Linked DNA regions of Caenorhabditis elegans. The protein of the gene in region 1 purifies or fractionates together with the protein of each later gene. This does not show direct contact. Each region holds a gene or a part of one and is shown in the gene's direction. Other genes may lie near its edges.

What was found.
Region 2: the proteins of ndk-1 (region 1) and dyn-1 purify together in Caenorhabditis elegans (affinity purification with western blotting; one study listed by BioGRID). This does not show direct contact.

What each region holds. Positions count from the first base shown.
Region 1 is NC_003279.8:10,549,559-10,560,893, reverse strand, and holds ndk-1 (Nucleoside diphosphate kinase), read left to right. Parts: upstream 1-6,980; 5' UTR 6,981-7,099; coding exon 7,100-7,152; intron 7,153-7,233; coding exon 7,234-7,327; intron 7,328-7,385; coding exon 7,386-7,700; 3' UTR 7,701-7,775; downstream 7,776-11,335. Other genes in the region: F25H2.7 (Nucleotide-diphospho-sugar transferase domain-containing protein), read right to left, coding at 1,105-1,330, 1,389-1,474, 1,525-1,692, 1,747-1,908, 1,967-2,104, 2,153-2,325, 2,374-2,527; cert-1 (Ceramide transfer protein), read right to left, coding at 3,263-3,390, 3,439-3,571, 3,624-4,026, 4,075-4,172, 4,378-4,533, 4,916-5,104, 5,151-5,465, 5,834-5,953 and 2 more; F25H2.4 (MPN domain-containing protein), read right to left, coding at 7,969-8,137, 8,188-8,486, 8,793-8,915; F25H2.3 (ANK_REP_REGION domain-containing protein), read right to left, coding at 11,018-11,134, 11,185-11,313.
Region 2 is NC_003284.9:15,563,696-15,578,265, forward strand, and holds dyn-1 (Dynamin), read left to right. Parts: upstream 1-5,225; coding exon 5,226-5,392; intron 5,393-5,457; coding exon 5,458-5,681; intron 5,682-5,862; coding exon 5,863-6,469; intron 6,470-6,514; coding exon 6,515-7,018; intron 7,019-7,065; coding exon 7,066-7,341; intron 7,342-7,875; coding exon 7,876-8,155; intron 8,156-8,259; coding exon 8,260-8,645; intron 8,646-8,818; coding exon of another isoform or gene 8,819-8,867; exon of another isoform or gene 8,868-8,900; intron 8,901-9,181; coding exon 9,182-9,254; downstream 9,255-14,570.

The sequences.
Region 1 (11,335 bases):
ACATTTTTTGAATATCAGAGACACGAAAATCGTGAAAATACACTTTGCTAGATGAGATCATCGTCTAACTCTTCTAACTCTGGAAGTGACGGGGAGTTTCTCTCACAAAACACGTCATTTCACTGAGAATAGACAGCTGCTCTGTGGTCTCTCGTTTCTCTCTTATCTCGTATAAAAGCATGTTATTCATATAAAACCACTAAACAAGGAAGAAGCTGAGTCAGATGGAAAAGTGAAAAATGCTCCCGAAATTCAGAAAACTATCGAAACCGAAATGATAAATTTTAGAAATGCCGTTCTCCATGTGACATCACTTTTTTCGTATTTCTATGATAGCAAATGTATTTTTCGCTAAATTTTTTATATCTAATCACGTGAAGTTTGATTCCGTCACAAAGAACAATTGCTGACAGGAGTGGAAAGATCGAAATGACACTCAACTTGTGAACGCGCCGCGCTATACGTTCGAAAATAGTGAATTCTGATACGAAATTAGAGTTCAATTCAGGGATTTCAGATTCTTACATGGAGGAAACTGTAATTAAAACAAAAAAGAAGAAAAGTTTCTGCGAAAATTAAAGAAAAAAACTGTTTTCAAGATTTTGCGCGCCGTTTGCAATATTGCGTATTGCGCAACGAATTTCACGCAATTTCACACAATGTTCTCTGCGTTCTCTGCGATACTTCCTCGCTTTTCAGCAAATTCAATTAATAAAATAGAAAAATTATGTTCGTTTTGTATATTTTAAGTTTGAAATCAATTTTACTCAACTTTTAAAAGTTAATCCTGAGTTTATAAATCTAGAGCCGACCGGGGGCGACCCTTCGTCGTTTAATTTTATCAAGACACAAATGTCAAATGAAAAGCCCTGTGGGAGTAGTAGAAAAAAAGGAAAAATATTTATTGTTTCGAAATAAATTCCTACTAAAACTATTTAACATGATATTCAAAGTATTTTGTAAGTAGATAATCTCATAAAGATCACAAAAACGGTTAGGATAATGCCAATTGAAAATTTTGAACGCGTATCTAAGATATGGCAAGTAAGAATAATCAAAGTGAATAAATCTGCAAAATAAAGTGTACAAGTGTAATAAATCGTGTTATCGTTGAAGCTTCGATACAATCTTCGCTTGTTTGCTGTAAGAATCCTTTTGATTCTCAATTGTGCTCAAAATGTTCCGATCAACATCAATAATGCTTCCAATAAAAGAATCCTTGTATCTCCAATTCAAATAAGCAACGCCTTTTGAACATCTTGTCAGGTTCCATGGACTGTCGTAGATCAGAGGCGAGTGCCACATGGCAAAAGTTAGCTTGTCTTTACGCCTGAAATATTTTATTATCAAGTAAAATATGAAATTGTATTGAAATTCGAAATTTTTACTTTTTCTGCCAACCATGAAATATAAAGTCAGTCTCTGACCAAACAGAGTTAGTGAGCCAACCATCTCGAGCCCAGGAAAATCGACCCTAAAAGTATAGTTTTTAACTGAAGAAAATATAAAGAAATTTAAAAAAACCTTCTCTAATATCATAATTTCTGGTATTCTATTAGCTTTTATCAATTGATGTGCACAAACTTCGTAAGTCGATAAGCTCTCGTAATCTTTCGCCACTTTCCAGAAATTATTTTCACAAGAATCAATTTTATTCTTCAATTCGAGAGGCCCTTGACGTAGAATTACGCTCTGAAAAATATGGTAAAATTGTTAATCTTTTTCTCATTTGAGACTAAAGCTTACATGGATCGCCCCATTATCAGATCCATGAAAAGATTTTGGAAGTTGACTTTCAAAAGTCGCCCAGTACATCAAGAATTGACGAGACCAATGAGAATTTCGAACCAAATAGGATCCAGCCATCACTTCGTGATTCATAATTCGATTGTAGAATACAATTTGAACCTGAAAACAAAGAAAAAATAAAATATATTTTTCAGAGAATTTATAGCAAATAACCTACATTCTGATCTTTAGGAATATATTCTTCAATCAAGTGATTCGGATTGATTACACCCATGTCACCATCAAGAAAAAGAAGCCACGTATTGGAAATTGAAGACATTTTCAGAGAAAGAATGCAATGACGGCGGAACATGAACTGAAAATGTTACTTAATCCTCAATAGACCTGGTTGTTTCAAGCTCACATCAGCCTGCTGACACTTTTCAGATATTTTCTTCTCATTTTTCCCATGAAAAATATGAACATCGTACTCGAAATGTCTTCCATAACATCTGACAGTGTCCAGTGCCATTTGATATTTTTCTTCATCTTCAAAACTATTCAGGACCACCACTATTCCAATATTTTCAATTTTATCTGGAAAATTTTAATTATTGGATAAATAGATTTTCGCGATTTTAAAACCTTTTCTTATCACTGAAATATTTCTGATAACTTCATGATCATACTGATTGGCAAGATAAATGTATCCTTTTCCAAGATGAAGCTCTTCTATTAATATCACTCCAACTACAAAAGTTACCAGCCCAATTGATGTGTATCGTTGAAGAGCCCGCATTTAAAGATCAATATTCAATTCAAGAGAGAAAACACCGAAGCATACTGAAATTAAAAAATTAAACTAAGGAAAAAAGAGTACTGTAATTCATACTCTCGTTGCAGCGGACTTTTCATAACTTTTCTCACGATTTTCAAAATATATAAGTTTTTATTACATTTGAAATTTTTTAACATTTTAACAATTAAAAAAAAGTTTTTTTCGAAAACACTAAATATGAAAAATTAATAAAAATCTTACACAAACTAAAGTTTAAAACTACAGTACTACCCCTTGAATTTAATAAAATCTTGCCGTGCCAAGACCTTGTACCGTATTTCTGGAGCAAAAGTTTGTATCTGGACAATAAATAATTTTTTTCCGTTTTTTTTGGAAAACACAATAATTTCGCAAATTGTGAGTCTTAAAGGCTCATGTACAATTTTTTGAAATAATATTTCAGTCGTTTCGAGGATATCCTAACTTTGGTTAAAAAACAACATGTGGAGATGAACCATTACATTCGAAATGTCTAACCAAATTTTGAATAAACTTTAAAATTTCATTGTGAAAATTATTACACATATGGGAAAAATTCCTAGATGCTTTATCAATCAGTTAGTTCAGTTCACAACCAAGTAGCTAATACACGAAAAACGACTATTGTACATTATAAGTTACAGAATTTTCAGAAAAAAAGGACCATCGGGAACGGAATACACATGAAATGGCACATCAGAAGTTTATTAGTACATTTTAAATGCTGACAGGCTTTCCCTTCACATTCTTTTTGACGAATTCGGTGAAAGTTCTCAAAAATTTCGGATATTCTTTTTTGTAGACGTGACGAAGAGCTGCAGTTGGTACCCATCCGCCGGGGTGAACTGAAAATTAAATTTAAAAATTAAAAAAAAAGAAAACTATGGTATTACCTTGCGAAACATAAATAATATTGCATTTAACATCATCTCTCGTTAATTTTCGATCAATATGTGGATCCTTCACTGTAGTCTCACAGATCATTGATACCGTTAGTCCAACTCTCACAGAAGATGAGGATCCAAGCTGAAAGTTTCAGTTACAATTGATTTAATGTTTTTTAAATTCAAAAACCTACCGGAACATCGGCTCTTTGAATATCTCTATTGCACACAATATACAAATCATGTGCTCCATCCCTCTTGTGCTCATCAACTCGTCGAATGTGTGAAACGAATAATGATTCTCTCGGTGCAGCAGGCCAAACTGTTTTATGTTTCTGATGTAGAACCACAGAATCCGGTGAAATGTGCTCAACAACGCTCATCGCTTCCAGCGTATGGTCCCATTGCATTTTATACCGTGCATCATAGAAATAATGCATGAATTCCAGTGCAGTGACACCATCAACTGCATGTATCGCCTTTAATGGATCAACAGGAACACCTCCTTCATCTTCAATTTGTCTTGTATACATTCTCATTGGACCGTCTTCAGCGAACAGACTCCATACATTATCCTCAGCACCGGCAAGAGCATATCTAGAAATATTGAGAATTTGAAAATGATTTTTAAAACGATAAACTTACTTGAGCTGTTCTAGAGCGAGCTTATCGATTGTGGTGTAAAGAGAGTGTTCTTGGCTCACGAGGAGGTCGTCATAGTGACCAGTAACTGGGTTTCCTTCCTGCAATAGCACATGTTTTAGTAGAGAAATATGGAAAGTTTGGCAAAAACTCTCGTTTCTGCGAATTTTATTTTAATTAATTTTTTATTTATAGATGTATTTATTTAAAACTTATATTAAAATTAAAAGGCGCGTACACTTCTCGCATTTAATAAAAAAGGCGCTAAAAATCGCAAAATTTTGCATCCTTGTAATATGAGCTTACAATTCTGAAGCTAGTCTTCTTTTTCTCTTCCTCTGGAACAACTATATTTCCATTTTTCTTGTCTTCCACCTCTTCTTGTCTTTTTTCAACGGTATCTCCATTTTTCGAGTCCACATCAAACTCGTCGGCGTCAAAGAACTCATCACAATCACTTGTCTGAATGAGAAATATGCAAATTTGCAAGAATTGTAAATTTTAGAAATTGTCTGGCGTATTTTTTGCGATAGATTCATAAATTTTTGATCCGAAATTGATATAAAAAATGTATTTAGAAAATAATTTCTTTAAACTTTAAATTTTGCAGTAAGTTCTGAAAAATGCTCAATAACAGTGCCAAGCTTTCGTTACACTGATCGGGGAGCAAAATGACTTTGAAGCAAGTATAGAGCATTTTTAGAACATTCTAAAACTTATCTGAGAGTTATTTTTTTACTGAAAAATTGATTTAACATAATCTTATAGATAAGAATTAGGATTTTAAAACTTTTTTGGATTTTCTTTTCTCGAAATTAAATTTACATATTAACAAAAAACTCACCACATCAATATCAGGTCTTGCAATAATCGTAGAAGTTGTCATTGTTGAATTATCGTCAGACATGTATTCTTGTTCAACAATAGATTCACGACGAAGAACAGAAGAAGAAACACTTCTAGTTGCACATAAAGGTTCCCGAAATGGTGGTGGAGTGGATGAAGAAGAAGATGGAATGTTTGGTATTACCACCTGAAAATTATTTGATTTAATTCTCAAACTATCAGCAAATTGTTACTTTAGAAGTCTTGACGAGATCCACGATATGATTAATATTAACAATCAATGCTAAATGTGTTGCTTTTACTGATAGAATCGTGGCTTGTGGGACAATACAACTGGCTCCACCTTGTTCCAGAAGTCTTTCGATTGATGTCATCTGATCCTTGCACATAGTTCGGTATGCTTCGAGTTCGGAGAGTTTCGTGGCAAAAAGCTTCGTTGATTCATTATCATCAGATTTTTGATTATTAGTAGCAAGAACTGAGGAAACCGATGGATTACGGGAATGACTTTTAGTGCTAGTCGAGCTATAATCCGAATCGTTTTGTACCTGAAAATTATTGATTTTCCCATTGAAGTTTTAACTTGATTTCTCTGATTCTAAAAGTAGAATTTCGAAGTGAACGATTTTTTATATTTTATAGCCTCGTACTATTCCCGAACTTTCAATTGACTTTTGTGTGCCACCGTCCGTACTATATATTTACACGGGATGACAAAATCAGGTAAAGATCAACAATGGTGTTTTTGATGTAAAAAGGAACATAAGAGAGGTGTTTGAACTATGATCGGAGCATATTTAAACGAAGAATATACAACTTTTTATCTCGTAATTACTCCGAGAGAATCGCTGGGGAAGTAATTTTTTGAAAAAATTATGTTTTAAAAATACCAAATTCAGATTCAGAAAACACTCACTGTTTCCCGGACAACTGATCGCATCCATAGAAGTTTTGACTGTGAATTCTCTGCTTTCAAATACCAGACAACGTTTTCGCCCATAGATATTGAGAATTCGTTTTCATCAAATTCGTGGGCCTAAATTTTTAAATATACAAGAACTTTCTGAGAAATCAATAAAAGCTCACAGCTATTATTGCACTTTTGAGAAATATGCTTCCTCTGCATCCGTGGGATTTTTCGGCTTTTGACAGATAATAAACAAGATTTCCCTCTGTGATTTCAAAGTATCGATCTTGCCATCCATTCACGTAGTTTGTCCATTTTTTCATCACCCCATTCGTGGGAAGGACACTGGAATGAGATAAATTATATTAGAATTTATCATTGAAACAATTTCTGTAATTTAAAATATCTACAAAACTCACACTTCGCTCTCCATCGGCTTCGTTCGCGAATCAGCAGGTGATAAATGATAAGACAGAGGCTCTCTTTCCGAGAGACTTTCCCCGTTTCGATACAGTTTTGCTCTCACTTTGTTCTGCAAACAAAGCTCACGGTTTGGTAGGCAAACAGTTAAATGGTAGTCGATGGCAGAAAAGAAAGAGTATAGACAACCTTACATTTAGTCGATTCTAAACATAGGGCGTCGAAGGTGGCGAATATGGGAGAACCGGTTTCCTTGTACTGCAAATAGTTTTGTGAAGTAGTGTCTGAAACGAAAAAAGAAATTTGCGGAGCCAGGTCATCAAGCATGAAATAAAGTTCGACGCGTAACGAGGCACAATAGTTTAATGGGAATATGCAGAGCGTTTGTGCTTGTTGCATGGAGACACGAAAAGCAGACATAAGTCATAGAACTTGAGACAAAGTGTAATAAACTATTTATGTCACACGCGTTTTTTCAGATATCAAATGCAGCGATTCACTTCTCAATGTGTTTTGACGTTACAGGTGACGTTAAATTCCGATTTTTGTTCAATAATCCCGATGAAATTTCATATGAAGAAAACCAGTTTGACAGAACATAATTCTCGCAAAAGGTTCAATTGGTGTCCAAAAAAATTGGTCGAAAACAGTGGTCAGTAAAGGCGCTCCATTGCAATTCTGGCACAAAGCCAAGAATGCTGCGAGGTCGGGTCTCGCCACGTGCTGAAGTACGGTTACACTCGTTTCATTTGTGTCGGAGTTGATTGAATGGGCGCCGGCGGGTTATTCTTTTCACTTGCGTTCGTCGCTGTCGCCTGTGCTGTTGACACCTGTTCCAAGTTGGATTGTCCGAAAATGAGCAACACTGAGAGAACCTTCATCGCCATCAAGCCTGATGGAGTCCACCGGTTAGTTATCTTTGAAGAAACTTATTCTAGCATCCTCAATGGATTTTAGGATTTTCAAAATCCTAATTTTTTAAATTTCAGTGGTCTCGTCGGAAAGATCATCGCTCGTTTTGAAGAGCGCGGATACAAGCTTGTTGCTCTCAAGCAGATGACCGCCTCCAAGGCCCATCTTGAGGTACGTTTTCACGAAATTACAAAATTTTAGGCCCAACCAGTTAAATTATTATTTTTAGGTTCACTACCAAGACCTCAAGGACAAACCATTCTTCCCATCCCTCATCGAGTACATGAGCTCTGGACCAGTCGTCGCCATGGTCTGGCAAGGACTTGACGTCGTCAAGCAAGGACGTTCCATGCTCGGAGCTACCAACCCACTCGCTTCCGCCCCAGGAACCATCCGCGGAGACTTCTGCATCCAAACCGGACGCAATATCTGCCACGGATCCGATGCCGTTGACTCTGCCAACCGCGAGATTGCTCACTGGTTCAAGCAGGAGGAGATCAACGACTACGCCAGCCCATTCATCAACTCATGGGTCTACGAATAAACTGATTGCTTATGTCTCCCGGTGTTTTCACCGTTTTCGTATCTCTGCTGAATGTTGATAAAGTATTGCTTCCCACCTAAAACATCGTTTTTGTTGACATCTATTCCTGCGCATTCTCTAATGCGTTTTCATGGCAACCAATCCTACACGACTCAGCTGTCATCAAATCTTTTATTCAACCCGAAAACGGAAGGGGATTAAACATATAATATATTCAGATGACTGCAATAAGTTATGAAAACACGAATTAGGATAATAATTTCAGCTTTTAAGCTCTGAATTCCGCCACTTGCACGAGTTTGTTGCTCAGATTTGTGTTATAGAAGTCGAACTCGGGATTGTCCAAATGGTTTTCGAAATCGGAAAGCTCTCGGTACAACTTCTTCTGAATAACAGCTTGAAGGCCACGCAAGAAGTTGGAACCTTGGAAAATCGTTCTGAAATGAATATACTAAATGAATATATAACATCAAATGTTTTTTCCTACTTCGTTTCTTTCCAACTATCTCCATCTTTTTCATATGCCACGAGGCGGTCTTGTTCACAATCTGACACCAGTCTTTCGTTCATCACTTGTACGAGAATCGCTGCCGAAGAGGTAACAGAAGATATTCTGTCGGCGAGTCGAGTGGCATAAACGTTGAGAGAAGTGTCCGATGGAGTTGCATTTGAGAAATAGACGCCGACGAGGGAGGCACCAAACTTTCCATGGACGAGGGCTGTGGCAAGTTCCAGAGGAGGTGCGAGTGGAGTGGATTCATGGCAAAGAGGAACACAACTTGTTACCTGGAAAATAAATTATCAGATAGGATGGCAAATTCATTAAATTAAAACATTTCCCTGACTCAGAAATCTAGTATCGCATAACTCTTCTCAAAACGTAGAAAAGTATTTTTTATGCTCTCTTCAGCAACTGTTCATCATTTTGAGGTGGAGAGCGTAATTATTTTTTCTTGCTTTCAGCTTAGCAATTCTAATATATCGATAATTGGTATTAAAGACGACTGTCTTTGGAGAAAATAAGCGTACCGACATGACGATCAACTAATTTAAAATGTTCGCATTTAATGAATTAAACAAATAAAATTGTACCGTGACTTTGTCTCCTTTCTTGTTTCCAATCAGCAGTCCAAAAACACCCTTTGCCGGGTATTTCAGGCAGTGAAGGATGATTGTCGAGTAGGGGAGAGCCTGTGTTTCGACTTGATGCTTCATCTGCAAATTACTTGAATTTTAGCGAATTTTGTTTATTATTTGAAATCATCTAACAAATTTTAGGTATTCAGGATTGTATTGAACAATAAAAGAAGTTGAATACAGCGGTTTAATGAAAATAAATTAAGAAAAACAGTTATAACGTTGTTCTCTCTCGAAAATCGTCTTTAAAATTGAGTTATATTACATGAATAGATTGTTTTAGGAATAAATAAAATTAAGAAACATTTTAAACTGGAATCAAACCATTAAAACAATAAAAGAATCTCGAACACTCAACAAATATAAACTAAAAATCGTTAATTCCAAAGAGAGCATTTGTATTCTCAATGGAGCGCACTTGCGCAGAAAATTTATCAAATAAAAAAAAGGAGGGAAACAAGAAATTTCAAATGATTTTGATGTTTTTAAAGTTTAATTCGGATAATAATCATAAAATTAGGGAACAGAAAATCAAAAATTACATAAAATCTATGAAGTTCCTGATGAGAGCTCTTGAGCTCAATAATTCGATTGAAAATTCGTTAAGATTGGTGGAGCACAGCGCCTCAAATCGGGAGAGTTAAGAAAATTGAGAATTGGAAAGTCCAACGGAGCGCGCTTGCACACTTTTACGGTATTAAATGAGTTTCAGACGAAATTTCGCGATTATTCGAGTTTTCAAGATGAAATTTGGAAAAAATAATTAAATATTGGGATTATTATTGCTTTAAAAAAGTTTTAAAAAACATTTTATTGAACAAATTCAAGATTTGGCTGCTTTTTCATTGATTTTCGAACCGACTAGAACAAGTTAACTCTATGACAAAATTTCTACGCGAAACAAATTTTTTCAAGCATTAATATGTTTGATTCCAATTTTTAAACGTCAGCTTGATAGAAATAACACGGTTTCAAGTCTTGAAATTGTTCAAAAATGCACAAATCAACGGAAACTGTTTAGTTGGCAGCTGATCTTCACTAAACCAACACTAAATGTTCAGATCAAATCACAACTTGTTTGATCATTTGAAAAAACATTTTTGAATCATTGTTTCCCACAAAAAGCAGATGATAAGTAGTATAGCATGATGAGAATCCATATGATTCTTCATATGCGCATAGCTATAAATACTGTAACTTCGACAACTCCTATCTCCTCAGAGAGGCAAGATATCAAAAAGTGATTAACTAAGAAATTGCAGAACATATCAAAAACTATACTAATTAATTAAAATCATGTGTTTATCTCTTAAGATGAGGGAGTTAGAGCAGCCAGTATAATAACAAAAAGTATGCAATACAAATGTACGTCTAACTCCCCCATCTTGAAAGATAAAAACGTAGGTTAAATTGAATATCATAGTTTTTGATGTGCTCTACAAGGTCTCAGTTGATCACTTTTTGGTATCTCACCTCTCCGAGTAGATAGGAGTTGTCGAAGTTGAGGTATCTAGAGCTGCAGAGGGTAGGAAGAATCTGATGGTTCCTTATTAAGGAAAAGAAAATATAACACGAAACTTGTAATAAATGTTAATTTGATCATTTATGTGAGTATTTGAGCCATTTTTTAAGGAAAATTGGAGAGCAACACTTACATAAGAAATTTGGCGTGGCATAGATCCATTGGTAGATTGGGACATTGAAATTTGATCAGAACTATTTTATTTTTAGTGATTTTGATCGATTTGTAGCTTTATTCTAGTGAAATCTTCGATTTCATAAAAGGTTTTTAACCAATTTTGCAAGATTTCCCTTGATAAATGTTGCTTTCCTTTTTTATCGATTTCGTTGTAAAGAAAAATCATTTTTCTGTGTTATCAGTCAAATTAATGACTAAAACTCTTTAAAACGATTCAAACTATTAGCAAAAATTCTAAAATTGAATATTTATGCAATAAATTGCTCTAAAATCAATTTTTGTTTGCAAAATTCTGTTTTTGGTCATCAAAAAAAATTTTCAGATTTGCCGAAATTCAGAGCTCATTTCGAGCTTATTTGGGGAAAAATTTATATTAAAATGAAGTAAATCGCATCGCAAACAGTCTCTGGGCGGTCCCGCATGTTGAAAATTGCTTTAAAATCCCTAAAATCCAGCAAAAACGCGATATTTTACTGTTTTGCTACACATTAATTCCAATTCGTGCGACGTCTGCAGCAAACGCGCTCCCGCGCCAAAACCACTTTCTTTTTCTCTCCCGATCTGAGGCGCTGTGTGGAGTTGAAACTGGAAGATAAAGCTGAAAAAGATTTAGAATTGTATTATTTACATTAAATATGAAAAACGAACCATTCCAATTAAAGAATAAGGAAAGTTATATGACGTATCACATGGAATAATGAGTCCAGGACCGTCGTGTCTTCCAAAATTTTCTCGCATTCGACATACTTCATTTCTGGTTTCCAATTCTCGATAAATCTGCAATTTTTATATTTGGTTC
Region 2 (14,570 bases), on another chromosome or scaffold:
TTGGAGGGCAAGCTGCTTCCTAGTGAGAGCTCCGATTTCCACAAGTGCGTGCTTGCTGGAAAGCTTCACATGTTTTTGATGCGTTGGAAACTTTAACTTGGGCAATACGCTGTAGTGGGTTTAGTTTTCAGACTGTTGTTTATTTGAGTCCAGGCTTGGATTGAAATATTTTTTGAAATCTTAGCGTCGTGTGCAAATTTTTTCAAAACATATATCAGAGCTATTTATGCTGAATAGTACCAATAAAATTAAAAAAAAAAACATTATGTAACGAACATCTAGGTTTATTTCATGTTTTAGAAAATTAGCTAAAATGTCCAAATAAAACTGGTGAAAAATGTTATTGAAATTTCTAAATTTTATTTCTAAATTTAATGTACATTTATATTTTCGATTTTACTATTAGTAGTTTTATAAACCGAAATATAACTTTTCAAAATAAATTAGTAGCTCAATTTGAAATAGGGTACGTTCCTAAAACATGTGCCTCTTTTTTTTGCCATACTTTAAATTTTATTGCTATCGTTTTTCTCTTAAAATCAATATCATTATGCAGCCATTTTCACGTTTCATGAGCCCACTGTACTTTTATGTGAGCCACACTCAAAAGGAAATTGAGCCGAAATGCTCTCTTCCTCTATCTTCCGAATTTTTAACGAATCCTATACTTTGTTTGATTAGTTTTATTTTGAATTTGCCATTTATATTCCTTGCAAAATGTTAAAGCTGTAGTGTCACACCATAGCAATTTGTGGTCTCTTATTCTAAACTTTGGTCATTTACAATCGGTGGAAAAAAAAGGTTCATAAGCTGCCTTCGTTTACCCATGTGACCGTGGGGGTTATGTGGCTGTGCGAGACAAAAAGAAACAGACACATGAGGTCTTCAAAAGTTGAGTTGGATTCCTATGGGAATCATCAAAAAATCGTTTCCGAATTTAGATGGATATGGGTTAGTGAAGAAGTGCGATCTATGGTCATGAACTTTTCTCAAGTAGTTCTGAGTTGCTCAAGCGGAAGTTTTTCATTTGCAGCAAATCGTTTTCGTGTAAATTTGGACTGGTTTTTATTAGTGATGTTATTATTGTTCAAAGACCTATAGTTTAAAAACTATTTTAATAATTCGGCCTTATGATTGTACCGCACACTTTAATTTAGCATTTAATCTACATATTTTGGAAAAAGTTATGAAACATAAGCAAATGAAAGCCGTGTGCGTTTTCTGGTATTTTTTTGAACAACATTCTCAAATTTAGGGTTCGTGGGCTTAACTTTGTTTAATTGCCATTTTATGGTGTTTCTAAATTAAGTAAAAAGAGACTCTTATGATGTAAGCCATTTAAGTTTAGAAGAAATTGCCCAACTATGTACAATAATTAGTAAACTTTGAATCTTAACTGAATATGTCTTTCTGTGGCGTGCGGCAAATCCCAAAACTTGCCGAGCTTGGCAAATTCGGTAAATTCGCCGTGCTCAACAAACTCCGAAAACGTAGATATTTTTTTTAAATGTTTTTTGGAGCATCAAAATTACTGAATCATAACTACTGTAATTTGCCGAATTTGCCGGGCTCGGCAAACTCGGCAAGTCACTTTTTTTGAAATTTGCCGTGCTCGGCAAAATTGGCAAATTTGCCGAGCTTGGCAAACGGCAAATTCAGCAAATTTGCCGCACATCCCTGGTGTTTTTCGAATAAAGAACATTTATAAATTGATTACTTTTATTGTGAACATTCAACTTTTGAAATACTCGATTTTTTTTTAATTTTCCAACACCTGTTCTAATTCCGCAGCATTTATCCCAATGCCACAGGACAGCTGCTTCCAAATGTCCTTCCATCTTGTCAATATAAAACATGGACAAATGTTCAAAAATTAAAGCTTTATATTTTCCAAATTTTGCTTCTTTTTTTTCGCTAAGCATTTTTTGTTTTTGCGTGAAGGCAAGGAGATATTTGAAATAAATCAAATTTTGCCAATTAGACGACTACGGCGTCCCTCTGGATACAAGCCTCAGAACTTCCATGGAGTTTTCGTTTCCAGCGATTGCTTTTGACGTTTTTTTAGGATTCAAAATTTATTCTTATTCAAGAATAGCATCATTTGAAATTGAGTATATAAATCCAATTCAAACCAGTTTTGTTGAATTTCAAACTCTAAGTTGAGTCTTAAATGTATAAACATGAACTGCTCCTGGTATCCTTAACCAGAATGGATAGCGCGTTTAAAGGTGGAGTAGCGCCAGTGGGGATTTTGTCTAAATACACTTATACTGATCCAAAACAACCGAATATCATAATAAAACACTCCAAAAAATTTTAGATTTTTCAAAATATCCGGTCAAAGTTTAGGAAAATTGCCAAAATTTTGTAATTGTCACATTTTGACAGTAAATAAAAAATTTTCAAAATATTTTTGAAAAGTTTTATTGTGATATTCGGTTAGTTTGGCACCATAGAAGTAGTTTTTAACACTTTCCCCCGTGGCGCTACTCCACTTTTAAGTATAGATGACAGTTTGTTTTACAAGGATGTGAGAATACAAAAATTATTGTTAAGCACATTTCATGGCTCTATGAATGTGAATGTGGTTTTTATAACGCTTAATTTATAAAAATGTTGTCTTGCAGAGGTCTCTTCAAAATTTTTGATACTAACACACTTGTGAGCAGTGTTCTAGAACTCAATGGCACAGTTTTCAATAGATATTTGAAAATTTCCTATTGCATATTGTGTAAATTTAGCTTTGAAAATAATTGTATGTCGAAAAATATTTGTTTTTTCCAGTTTTTTTTCAGTCCAGCTATCCGTCCGTCACTATGCAATTTCAAATACTTTGTTAACAAAATATATATCTAGACACTGGTTAGATTTGGAACGAAAACAAAAACTTTCTTCTCTTCCTTTTCCTTTTGTCGTTTATTCTGTGAGTTTGGCTTAGCAAGCCTCCCGGACCACGACGTCGTCATCGGCGCCGTCAGTGCTCCGCGTTTTTTTTTGTGGAGCCAAGAGAAAGAGGGCAGAAAGAGCTTCAAACTGCGGTCGGGAGCTCTAACACACACGTCTTGCTTTTCTTCTTCTGCTTTTGCTCTCCCTGTGTGCGAGAATATGTACATACGCGAAAAATGTGCGCGCGGGGGGGGGGGGCCCCTGCCGAGTAGCAGTGCGCAGCACACATACATAGCAGAATATCGACTAATCGAAAACGCCTCCTTCCTTTTTCTTTTTTCCTTCTTTCTGCTTCGTTTTTCTTTCTTTTTCTTATTCTTATTCTTCGTTTTCCGTTTTTGTTTTCTTTTTCTTCCTTGATATTCTCCTCAGCCTGCTTTGCTCGCTATGGAGTGAAGGGACAACAAAAAACTCAGCTGTTATTTATTCCATGTTCTGTTTTGCTTTACAATTAAAAAAATCAATTGAGCTATTTTGCTAGATTTTCAATACTTTTAAACCATGTTTTATAAATGTTTTATAAATTTCAGAGCATATGAAATCATTGTACATCAACTGATTAGTCACAAATTCATTATCAGGAGTAGTATGGGAATGTTAAATTCGTTATTTGTTTACACACCGCTGGTTCTTAGTAAAATTTTCTAATAGGAAGTAACTGGAATTTGTTTGGAAACCTACAAATCTGTTAATTTCGGAATTAATATCCAAGTTTCCAAATTAGCAGAAATAAAATTTTGAAGTAATATCTGGTTGAAATGTTGTGTTTCTGCTATAAAACTTGAAAAGAAACCTTGAATCCTGCTAGAGAATCGCCTTTGGTCAGAAAATCGAACATCAGTTTTTACTGCAAGTGACAATTTTCAGGGAGTATTTGAAGCCGTTATTTTTAATCCCAACTTTTTAAATGAAAATGAGTATATTTTTCATATTTATGATATGCATATATATATGTTCAATCTATCTGTGTTAGAGCTTGATGATTATTTCGAATCGGGCGGGTTTAAAGATCTGCCAAAAAAATTTGCAGTACTACCCTGTCTTGAAAAAAAAAGAAGAAAAACTGTGATACAATTTAACAATCATGAACATACGACAATTCTCTACAAATTATAATATCATAATGAATTCCATATTTTGTTTAAACAAATTGGACTAAATGAATTTCCTCGTCTCTAATAAACAAATAGAACGTGGAAAAACCTTCTTACTAATCATGATTTCTGGTCACAATTGTGACTCGATATTTGCTAAGATGACGATTTTTCTTTTCTTCCTACGGTACTGATCGGACTGTTGTAAAAGTTTCACAATTTTGAAATATTTTATTTTATTTTTATTTTGCATAATTTCCAAAGGTCATCCATCTCATTTCCATTCTCAATAAAAAAAATTTTTAAAGTCTGCCTCTTTTTATTAAAGAAACGATGTTATTTGCTCACTAACTTCCATTCACACGTTTCCAGCGAGATAGCAGGTAAGTTGAGAGACGCAGGTGGTTAGACTACAAACAGAAGGGTGGCCGGCTGCCACCCTCTCCACACCACTATTTCACAACATTTACAATGAATTGATCTACCCGCCAAATTCTGGTTTTCGGCAATCCAAAACTGTTCGCTTTGTTTTCCACTTTTTCATTTTTCATTTCTCCTCCACTACTTATTTGGATTTTCTTTTTCAAATGTGTCCCGTTTAGTTTTTTTTTGCATCTAACAACCTTCTGTTTTTTTCCAATATTTTCATTAAACAAGCCTCCAAATTCTTCATAAAATTCCTCGTGAAAAGAAATTTCTTGTCGTGGTTACTGCTGACGCGTTTTGCGATGAGTGTGTGTTGGCACGCTCTCCGCCGTCGCTGGCCAAGCCTTTTTCTCTCCCCGCCGCAGTACTGACTGCGAGGCTGACTCACTGCGGTCATTTCGTTTGCCTCACCCTCACTTTTAGTCTCTGCATCTCCGAGTCTCTCCGCGCTTTTTTGTACGCCGATCGTTTCTTCTTCTTGTTTTCCAAACATTCAACACCGTTTTGCCGACAATGATTCTGAATATTTGTTGATTTTGTTTTTTCAAATGCGATTTGAGGATTTTTTTTTCTAATTTTATATTCTATATTCTTGAAGGTGATAAATTTCATTCTAAAACATAATTATTAAACCTCCGAAAACCTCATTGCGAAATCGTGCTTTTTCCATTAAATCTTCTCAATGCTCTTCCTCATATCATTAATCGACTAAAAAAATCGATTTTCAGGTAGTTCAGCGTATAACCACCAGGATCAGCCATGTCGTGGCAAAACCAGGGAATGCAGGCGTTGATCCCTGTGATCAATCGTGTCCAGGACGCCTTCTCCCAGCTGGGCACATCTGTCAGCTTCGAACTTCCACAGATCGCCGTCGTCGGAGGACAGTCCGCTGGAAAGTCGTCGGTGCTGGAGAATTTTGTCGGAAAGTGAGTCACAAGAAGAAAAAAAACATAACTTTGCGAAATAAAATCACAATTTTTTTCCTTTCCAGAGACTTCTTGCCACGTGGATCAGGAATCGTAACACGTCGTCCACTTATTTTGCAGCTTATTCAAGATCGCAATGAGTACGCCGAGTTCCTACACAAGAAGGGTCATCGCTTTGTGGATTTTGATGCAGTTCGGAAAGAGATTGAGGATGAGACTGATCGTGTCACTGGACAGAATAAGGGAATCAGTCCACATCCAATCAACTTGCGTGTCTTTTCTCCAAATGGTAAGCATTTAGAAACTCACAGAAACGCAAGTGCGCTGGATGATTTGAGCATCTGAAACCAGACTTATGCAACTTTTTTTAAAATTTAAATTGCATTAAAGATTTCATAAATTTACAGTGAGTTGCACAAAATCACTGGAAAAATTCACACATTTTAATTAATTCATACTTAATTTTTCAGTTCTAAATCTGACACTCATCGATTTGCCCGGTCTCACAAAAGTGCCCGTCGGAGATCAACCAGCAGATATTGAGCAACAGATCCGTGACATGATTCTCACATTCATCAACCGTGAGACTTGCCTCATTCTTGCCGTCACTCCGGCCAACAGCGATCTCGCCACTTCGGATGCGTTGAAACTTGCGAAGGAAGTCGATCCACAGGGTCTTCGCACGATTGGAGTCCTCACCAAACTTGACTTGATGGACGAGGGAACCGATGCTCGCGAGATCCTCGAGAACAAGCTGTTCACACTTCGTCGTGGCTACGTCGGAGTTGTCAATCGTGGGCAGAAGGATATTGTCGGTCGCAAGGATATTAGAGCTGCTTTGGACGCCGAGAGAAAGTTCTTCATCTCACACCCATCCTACCGACATATGGCTGATCGGTTGGGAACAAGCTACCTTCAACACACTCTTAATCAACAGCTCACCAATCATATCCGTGATACACTGCCAACACTTCGTGATAGTCTTCAAAAGAAGATGTTTGCTATGGAAAAGGATGTGGCCGAGTACAAGAACTACCAGCCAAATGATCCAGGCCGCAAGACCAAGGCTCTTTTGCAGTAAGTGATTTCAATGGAGGTGCTTTATTAACAAAATTTTTGCAGAATGGTTACCCAGTTCAATGCTGACATTGAGCGCTCCATTGAAGGTTCCTCTGCAAAGCTGGTTTCAACCAATGAGCTCAGTGGAGGAGCCCGTATCAATCGGCTTTTCCATGAGCGTTTCCCATTTGAGATTGTTAAAATGGAAATTGACGAGAAAGAAATGCGCAAAGAAATCCAGTATGCCATCAGAAACATTCACGGTATCCGCGTCGGTCTCTTCACTCCGGATATGGCGTTTGAGGCAATTGCCAAAAAGCAAATCACCCGTCTGAAGGAGCCATCGTTGAAATGCGTTGATCTGGTGGTCAACGAGTTGGCTAATGTGATCAGACAGTGCGCTGACACTATGGCTAGATATCCACGTCTTCGTGACGAGCTGGAAAGAATCGTCGTCTCGCATATGCGTGAACGTGAGCAAATTGCCAAGCAGCAAATTGGGCTCATTGTTGACTACGAACTCGCTTATATGAACACAAACCATGAGGATTTCATTGGATTCAGCAAGTAGGAGTTTAGACTTTGCTTTTAGATGTTTAATTTTATTTTTTTAGTGCTGAAGCAAAAGCCTCCCAAGGACAATCAGCGAAGAAGAATCTTGGAAACCAGGTGATCAGAAAGGGCTGGCTCTCACTGAGCAACGTATCGTTTGTGCGTGGCTCCAAGGACAATTGGTTTGTGCTCATGTCGGACAGTTTGAGTTGGTACAAAGATGATGAGGAGAAGGAGAAGAAGTACATGCTCCCATTGGATGGTGTCAAGCTGAAGGATATTGAGGGTGGATTTATGTCTCGTAACCACAAGTTTGCTCTGTTCTACCCCGACGGAAAGTGAGTTACTCAAGAATTTTGCGATTTGATTGCCATTTCAACATTCCAAGAGCCCGCACGCTTTTCTTTCCACATTAGAGTTTCATTAGGCAGAAACACAGGAACACTAAATTGAGCATGAGTTTTGAAACGAGACAAAAAACGCACACACACACAAAATCAATTTTTTTTGAATATTTGTTTAAATTAAATTAATTTGCAGGAGGTGAGTGTATAGTTTACTTTCTTCACTTCTTCTTCTTCTTTAATGACTTGTAAGACAGAAAAACCTTTGTGTTGTCGTCCTTGTGATCTGTTTTCATTTTTTTTACCCGAAAAGTTTATCCACCTTGAAACCAACACCTTTCACTTCTGTAGTCAATTTCTTATTTTTCCTGTTTCTCTTTCTCTGCTGTGACAGTTTCAGTTCAGACAAAAAAAAATACAGCATGCAAAATGCTTTTTAGATAAAAGATTCTGAACCAGCATGAAGATGTAAACTCATGTATCCTTGACCTCACGCACTTGCTTCTCCCATAACCCTTTGAATTCCAGGAACATCTACAAGGATTACAAGCAGCTTGAGTTGGGATGCACCAATTTGGACGAAATTGATGCGTGGAAGGCTTCATTCTTGCGTGCTGGTGTCTATCCAGAAAAGCAGAAGGCACAGGAAGATGAGTCCCAACAAGAGATGGAGGATACCTCGATTGATCCACAACTTGAGAGACAGGTGGAGACAATCCGTAATTTGGTTGATTCCTACATGAGAATCATTACCAAGACAATTAAGGACCTGGTTCCAAAGGCGGTGATGCATTTGATTGTTAACCAGGTGAGGGATTTTAAAAGAATTGAATGATTCATCGTGATATCATCACGGCCTGTTTTTTTAACCGTACACAATAAACCTTAAACTAAATATCTCAATAATTTCAGACAGGTGAGTTCATGAAAGATGAACTTTTGGCCCATCTCTACCAATGCGGCGACACTGATGCTCTCATGGAGGAATCTCAAATAGAAGCCCAGAAGCGCGAGGAGATGCTCCGAATGTACCATGCTTGCAAGGAGGCGCTCCGCATTATCTCTGAAGTCAACATGAGCACCCTTGGCGACCAGCCGCCGCCATTGCCGATGTCTGACTACCGCCCACACCCATCTGGACCTTCACCGGTGCCGCGTCCGGCTCCTGCTCCACCAGGCGGACGTCAGGCCCCAATGCCACCACGCGGAGGACCCGGTGCCCCACCACCACCAGGCATGAGACCACCACCAGGTGCGCCAGGAGGCGGCGGTGGCATGTACCCACCGTTGATTCCAACGTAAGTTTATGCCTATTTTTTTTCGAAAAGAGCACCAGATCTCTTCTAATCTTTCCTATTTTGGTCCGTCATACTCTTTCTTCTGTCAAAATTTTTTTTCTGAAATTTAGAAAAAAAAATACTGTCAACAAGTCAGAATAAAACCTAAAACTAACGTGTACCAACCACTCTAGGCGTCCGGGACCAGGCGGCCCACCACCCAACATGGCACCGCCTAGATAATAATGTTGTGAATAATTCCCCCACTGACCAAAGGTTTGTTAATCGCGAAGAAGCAGTACAGAGAAGTGTATAATTGTTTGTTGTAATCGTGATGTGTATTAGCAGCATCTATCTAGTGTTGTGATCCCTTGGCACTTTATCGGAACATTTTTATATTCCACTATCTTCCTGTGATTTTTTCTACAGAAAGAAGCAAAAGCTAACTTTTCTTTCTCATCAAATTTTTCATAATTTCGTCATTATTTGCATGTTTCAATGGTGGTCTAGCTTTCTGTTGTTGTAGTATTAATCTGAAACGTTGTTTTTTTTTTCAGAAGAGTACCGACACCATCCAACGGAGCACCAGAGATTCCAGCTCGCCCGCAAGTCCCCAAGAGACCTTTCTAAATGCTTTTACATCTCCATCCTAGCTCACTTGTCATACTATTACCGTTCCCATAGTAATTGTACAATGCCCCCGTTTTATCAAGCATTTCTTTTTTTTTTTTGAGAATTTTTAAATTAATCAATATCCCGAGTTCTTCCACCTTTTGAGCAAGTCTCGTTGAGGATTGCATTGGTCCCAGCGCTAACTAGGCGTCAATTCATCCACCTCTCCATTCTCTCTCCCGTTCCAACTGTGTTTTTCTTTGTCAGCGGCGAATTTTCCACAACCAATCGAGTCCTATTTCTCTTTTTTTCCCCCACCTCCCAATAATTTTATTTGCATGTTTTATAAACTCACTTTGTTCAATAATTTATTGATTTTATTTTTTCTATGATTTGAAACTTTACATTTTTCCTACTCTTCTATAGCAATACTTTGTCACTTACAATAACCCCCCCCCCCCAGTCTGCCTATATTTATTTAGATGTTCTTTATGGCCACCCAATGTATAAACTCTTTTAGTGCATTTGTAGGTTCTTTCTTCATCCCACCCAATTCCCCCTCCACCACAAATCCCAGTTTTGATTATTTTAAGCCCATATTTATAAGAAGTAAATATATTTATAGATTTTTCTTAGATTATAAGCTCTTCTAGGTTTTCCCTCGTTGAGAAGAATGATCTGAAAAAGCCTAAATTATAGATTTTTGAAACGTATTGTGTAGAATTTGTATTTATTCGTGAAAGTGGAATAAAGTTAAAACGGAAAAATGTAGTATTAGTTTTGTGCAAAACATTGGCCCTATAAATGTAGATGTAGGAAAGTCTGTTTATTCTTGGAAAAATCCCTAATTTTTGTGAAATTGTTTGGTTTGCAGCGGTCGGAAGCAATCTTGAAAATAATTATCATTTGTAATCACATTTTGGTAATTTATTACGTTTATTTTCTTCATTGATTGGTAGGTATATGTTTTCTTTCGAAAGATGAACAAATGATAGTGAATTGGTGCACCTATAAACGGAAAATATACCTTAAACAATTAATGGTTAAAAAATCCACAATGAAGAAAAGATATTAGAAAATTCCGGTTGCTAAGACATTGAAAAAAACTTGAAAAAAGACTTTGAAAACTTGACAAAATTTGGCACTTTTGAAAAGAACCCATTTAAAACTTAAAGCATGTACTAAAACGAGAACTTTATTTGAAAATTATTATATGTGTATTGCTGCGCTTGTACATTTAAAAAAAGGAACCTTTTCAATTGATACTTAAAACAAATAGAAGTTTTTTAATCCATATCCTCAAGCTTCGCAGATAAACCCTCAATATGCCAAACTCTAATAAGTAGCAATGTAACATGTTTTTGGCGCTGGTGAGTAGGTACTAAAAATTTAATAAATGTTTCCGATTTAAAATTTTAGATCTCGTCAGAATCGTTGTCAACGCAGAACTACAATTCTGGCATACTTTTGTTATAACGATATCAAATACCAAAGAACTCGTCGAAATTGCATACTTGTTGATGGAACCATCCGTTCAACTGAACGCCAGCCAGTTTATTACTTAAATGAAAACTAATTTTTCAATTGATGACGGTTAGTGACTTTAGGTTTCATTTGATCAGCGTAGTTGCTGACACTTAATGGTTCGGGAACATAAAAGAACATGTCGAACACGTACATGACGACTGCTTAAAAGTTGAAAATTTCCCATATCCGTTTCTCATTTTATGTAGTCTCTTTCAGTGTGGCTACTAACGATTTTGCAATTTTACATTATACTTTGTTTGTGAGTTTCAGGAAACTTGTGAATTCGTTCAAACCCTTCAGAATCAGAATAAAAAATGGTGCTTTGTATTTCTTAAATTTTAATAACTTTTTCACGAGCACTACATTTTAAAATTTTGTAGAAGTTGTCTGTTTGCACCCATTTAATTTCAAATGTGTCATAAGTCAACAACTGGCACGTTGAGTATACATAGAAAAGAATGATTTTACCTTTTAATATTTTTTTTGTTATAAAAGCTTGCAACATTTTTATTACCTCTATGGATAAAAAACGAAGGCTAGGAGAAAGAATCTAAAAACTCGGATTAGTTTTTGGATACAAAACAGAAGATTAGAATATTTCCCTTCACGAATTTTGAGGGTAAAACAATTTTACCGAAGTTTTCAAAGGTTTTTGTTCAAGATTCCATTCATTTTTTTTGAAATACTTCATACACGTGGTGTCAGGTTGTTACGGTTTGACTTACAAATTTTGCCCAAAAAATGAGACGTCAGCACGTTTTTAGCCATTTAAATCAGTTAAGAACTCTGTGTCTCAACTCCCGCATTTTTTGTAGATATTTGTAGATCAAACCGAAATGAGACACTCTGACACCACGAGTTCATATTGTGAAACTCTCTTGAATACTTATCACTGTGCCAACCCATGTCACACTTTTAAATACATTGAACAGTATAAAAAACTCAGGTCAAAAGTAACATTTGATTGATCCCCCCCATTTCCTTCTGAACTTTGCTTCTCCTGTTTTTGCGTCGTTTCGCCATCATCATTAAAGTGACTCTTGGACTTGAGACTCTAGTTGCTTATCGATTGGTGATTGAAAAAGTAGGAGAAACGAATCTTTTCATCTACTCCTCTTCTGCACCCGCCTTCTCTTCCTCTTCTTCATCCAGCAGTGCCATTTCTCTTCGGCAGCAAGAATGGTGTGTAAAGTGATGACGGCGCAGTTTCTTCTGGCACAGGAGTAGCACAGCACAACCTCAGCAGTAGTTGGAGCAACCCAGCAGCAGCATATTTTCGATACTCATCGAGCACTTGCCGTTGTGTTGTGTCATCCGCCAACAAATCAGCAAACAACGTTTTTTATCCCGATCATTATTTTTTTTCCTCGCTCTGGGTTGGACTTGTCTATGTTTCAATTTTTATTACAAAAATAATGGAAGAAAAACATTTGTTTGAAAATTTTAATCCCTACTTTAAAGTTATATTATATATAGAAAATAAGTCTAAAAAATGTTTTATTATTTTTTTAAATTTTATTTAAAATTTTGAAAAAAATTTCGTATGGCTGATGTCCCAGACCCATCATTTTTTGTAGTTTTCTGTTTTTCTGAAAATTTAAATGACCTTCTCCGGTTTTTCTAAGATGACGTCACATTTCAAAAACCCATTGAAACTAATTTTCAGAAAACGGAAAACTCAATAAAACTAAGCGTGAAATGGAAAAAAAATCATTTAAAAAGTTAGAAAAATTTAAAAAAAAGATTTCAATTCTACTCGGCCATTGCGATGAATTTTTTATCAATTAACGCTAAATCTGTAAAAATTAGATTAAAAACCAAATAATAAAGAAACATACAAGGAATTTCAATTTTAAAAATTGTGTCATCAAACTTTTTGAGAAACTTCAGTATTAATTTAATTTCATGGAATGCGGTTTTTTCTCTAACTTTTTAACAAAACTAGGTAGATTAAAAAATTTAAACAAGACCATATATAAGCTACTGTTTCAAATCTACCTCTGTATGTATGTACAACAACTCCTTCAAAGTGAACGTATTTGCGAAAAATGGGCTCATCACAGAAGCTCATCATTTTTTACAACATTGTATTATAAACTTGCCAGTGCGTAGCCAGCATTTTATTTAACTTTCTATGAATTTTTGATATTTTTTGAAAAAGATTTTCTCACATGGTTCTCAATTGAACACTAAAACATAATCTAAAAACTACGAATTTTGAGTTTAAAGTTTTTCAGTTTTAAAGGTGGAGTAGCGCCAGTAGGGATTTAGTCTAAGTACAATTATAATGACCTAAAACAACCAAATATCATAACAAAACACTCCGAAAATTTTCAGATTTTTTCATAATTTCGGAGCTTTGGCAAATTGCCAAATTTTGAAAAATATGAGCTTTTGAGGAAATCCAAAGCAATGTCGCATGTTCCGACCCTTACAATGTTTCAATACAAGTAATCAAAACAAAATTAAAATATAAAAAATGTAGAAAAAAATGTTTTTTTTGGTCGTCTTCCAAAATTATGAGTGGCAAAAACTGAGTAATTGTCATTTTTTGACAGGAAATAAAAAAAATTCAAAAATTTTTTGAAAATTTTTATTATGATATTTGAATATTTTAGGACCAAAGGAGTGGTTTTTAACAGTTTCCCCACATGCGCTACTCAACCTTTAAACTTCATCCCCAAAATATATTTTTCAAAATTACTAGCCAGTGTTCCAAAACCATAGTTTTTCTCAAGCGTTTTTCTCTTTATTTTTTGCAATCGTCTTCGGAACACTTCCAATTTCAGACCGATCGACACCTAAGAGCGCTCACGGAGCAGTTCATTCCGGAAAAGAAGACAACTAAAAACTCTTCTTTTCTCATCGGAAAAGACAGCTCAGTGACGAGAACTCTTTTGTGAATAGACCGAGTAAAACGGCGAGACGACGACAAAAAATAATAACGGAAAAGAGTGAAGAGGCGGGGATTGTTTGGCCGTGCGAAAAAGAAAGAAAAAAGAAGAAAACGAAAAACTGAGGAAGCAATAAGAAAAATTGGAAAATAAAAACAAAAACAAAGTATCATATCACTGATATCGACCCAAGTTTTTTTTTTGAACTATCGTGTCTATTGAGACAATTTCATCTTTTTCTGGTGTTCTTCATGACTTACTCAACTCTAAGTGACTGACAACTTTATTACTCCTCAAGACAAAATGACTGCAAATGGCAATGCAAATCCGGCGTTCCGACGTCAAGCTTCGACAGGTAAAGTGAAAAGGGTTTTCTAGGCTACTTCAAAAAACATTGCAAAAAAGGGACTAAAAATATTATTATGAGGTTCATAATTTTTAATTAATTTTTTTTAAATGTACACATTATGTGATGACAGAGTGTCTCATTTCGGTTTGATCTATGTGGGGCAGGTATCTCAGTCGGTAGTGGTGGCCGCTAGCAGTCTGGAGGTCACGAGTTCAAGTCCGGCCTCACCCCCTAGGTTCACCCAGCCTCTATTGGGAAGTGGAGCAATCCACGACTGGATTTTCGGCCACAGTCCCCGGCTAGGATGTGGCTTAAATTACAGCCCAGAGGGATCACCACCAGGCAATGTACCTGAATCCCAGATCCGCAGTGCATAGCACCTGAAGAACGGATCGTCCTTCCTTTAATCCTTTTTAAAAAAAGATCTACAAAAAATGCGGGAGTTGAGACGCAGACTTCTCAACTAATTTTGCATGGCTAAGAACGTGCTGACGTCACATTTTTTCGGGCAAAAAATTTCCGCATTTTTTGTAGATCAAACCGTTATGGGATACCCTGGCACCA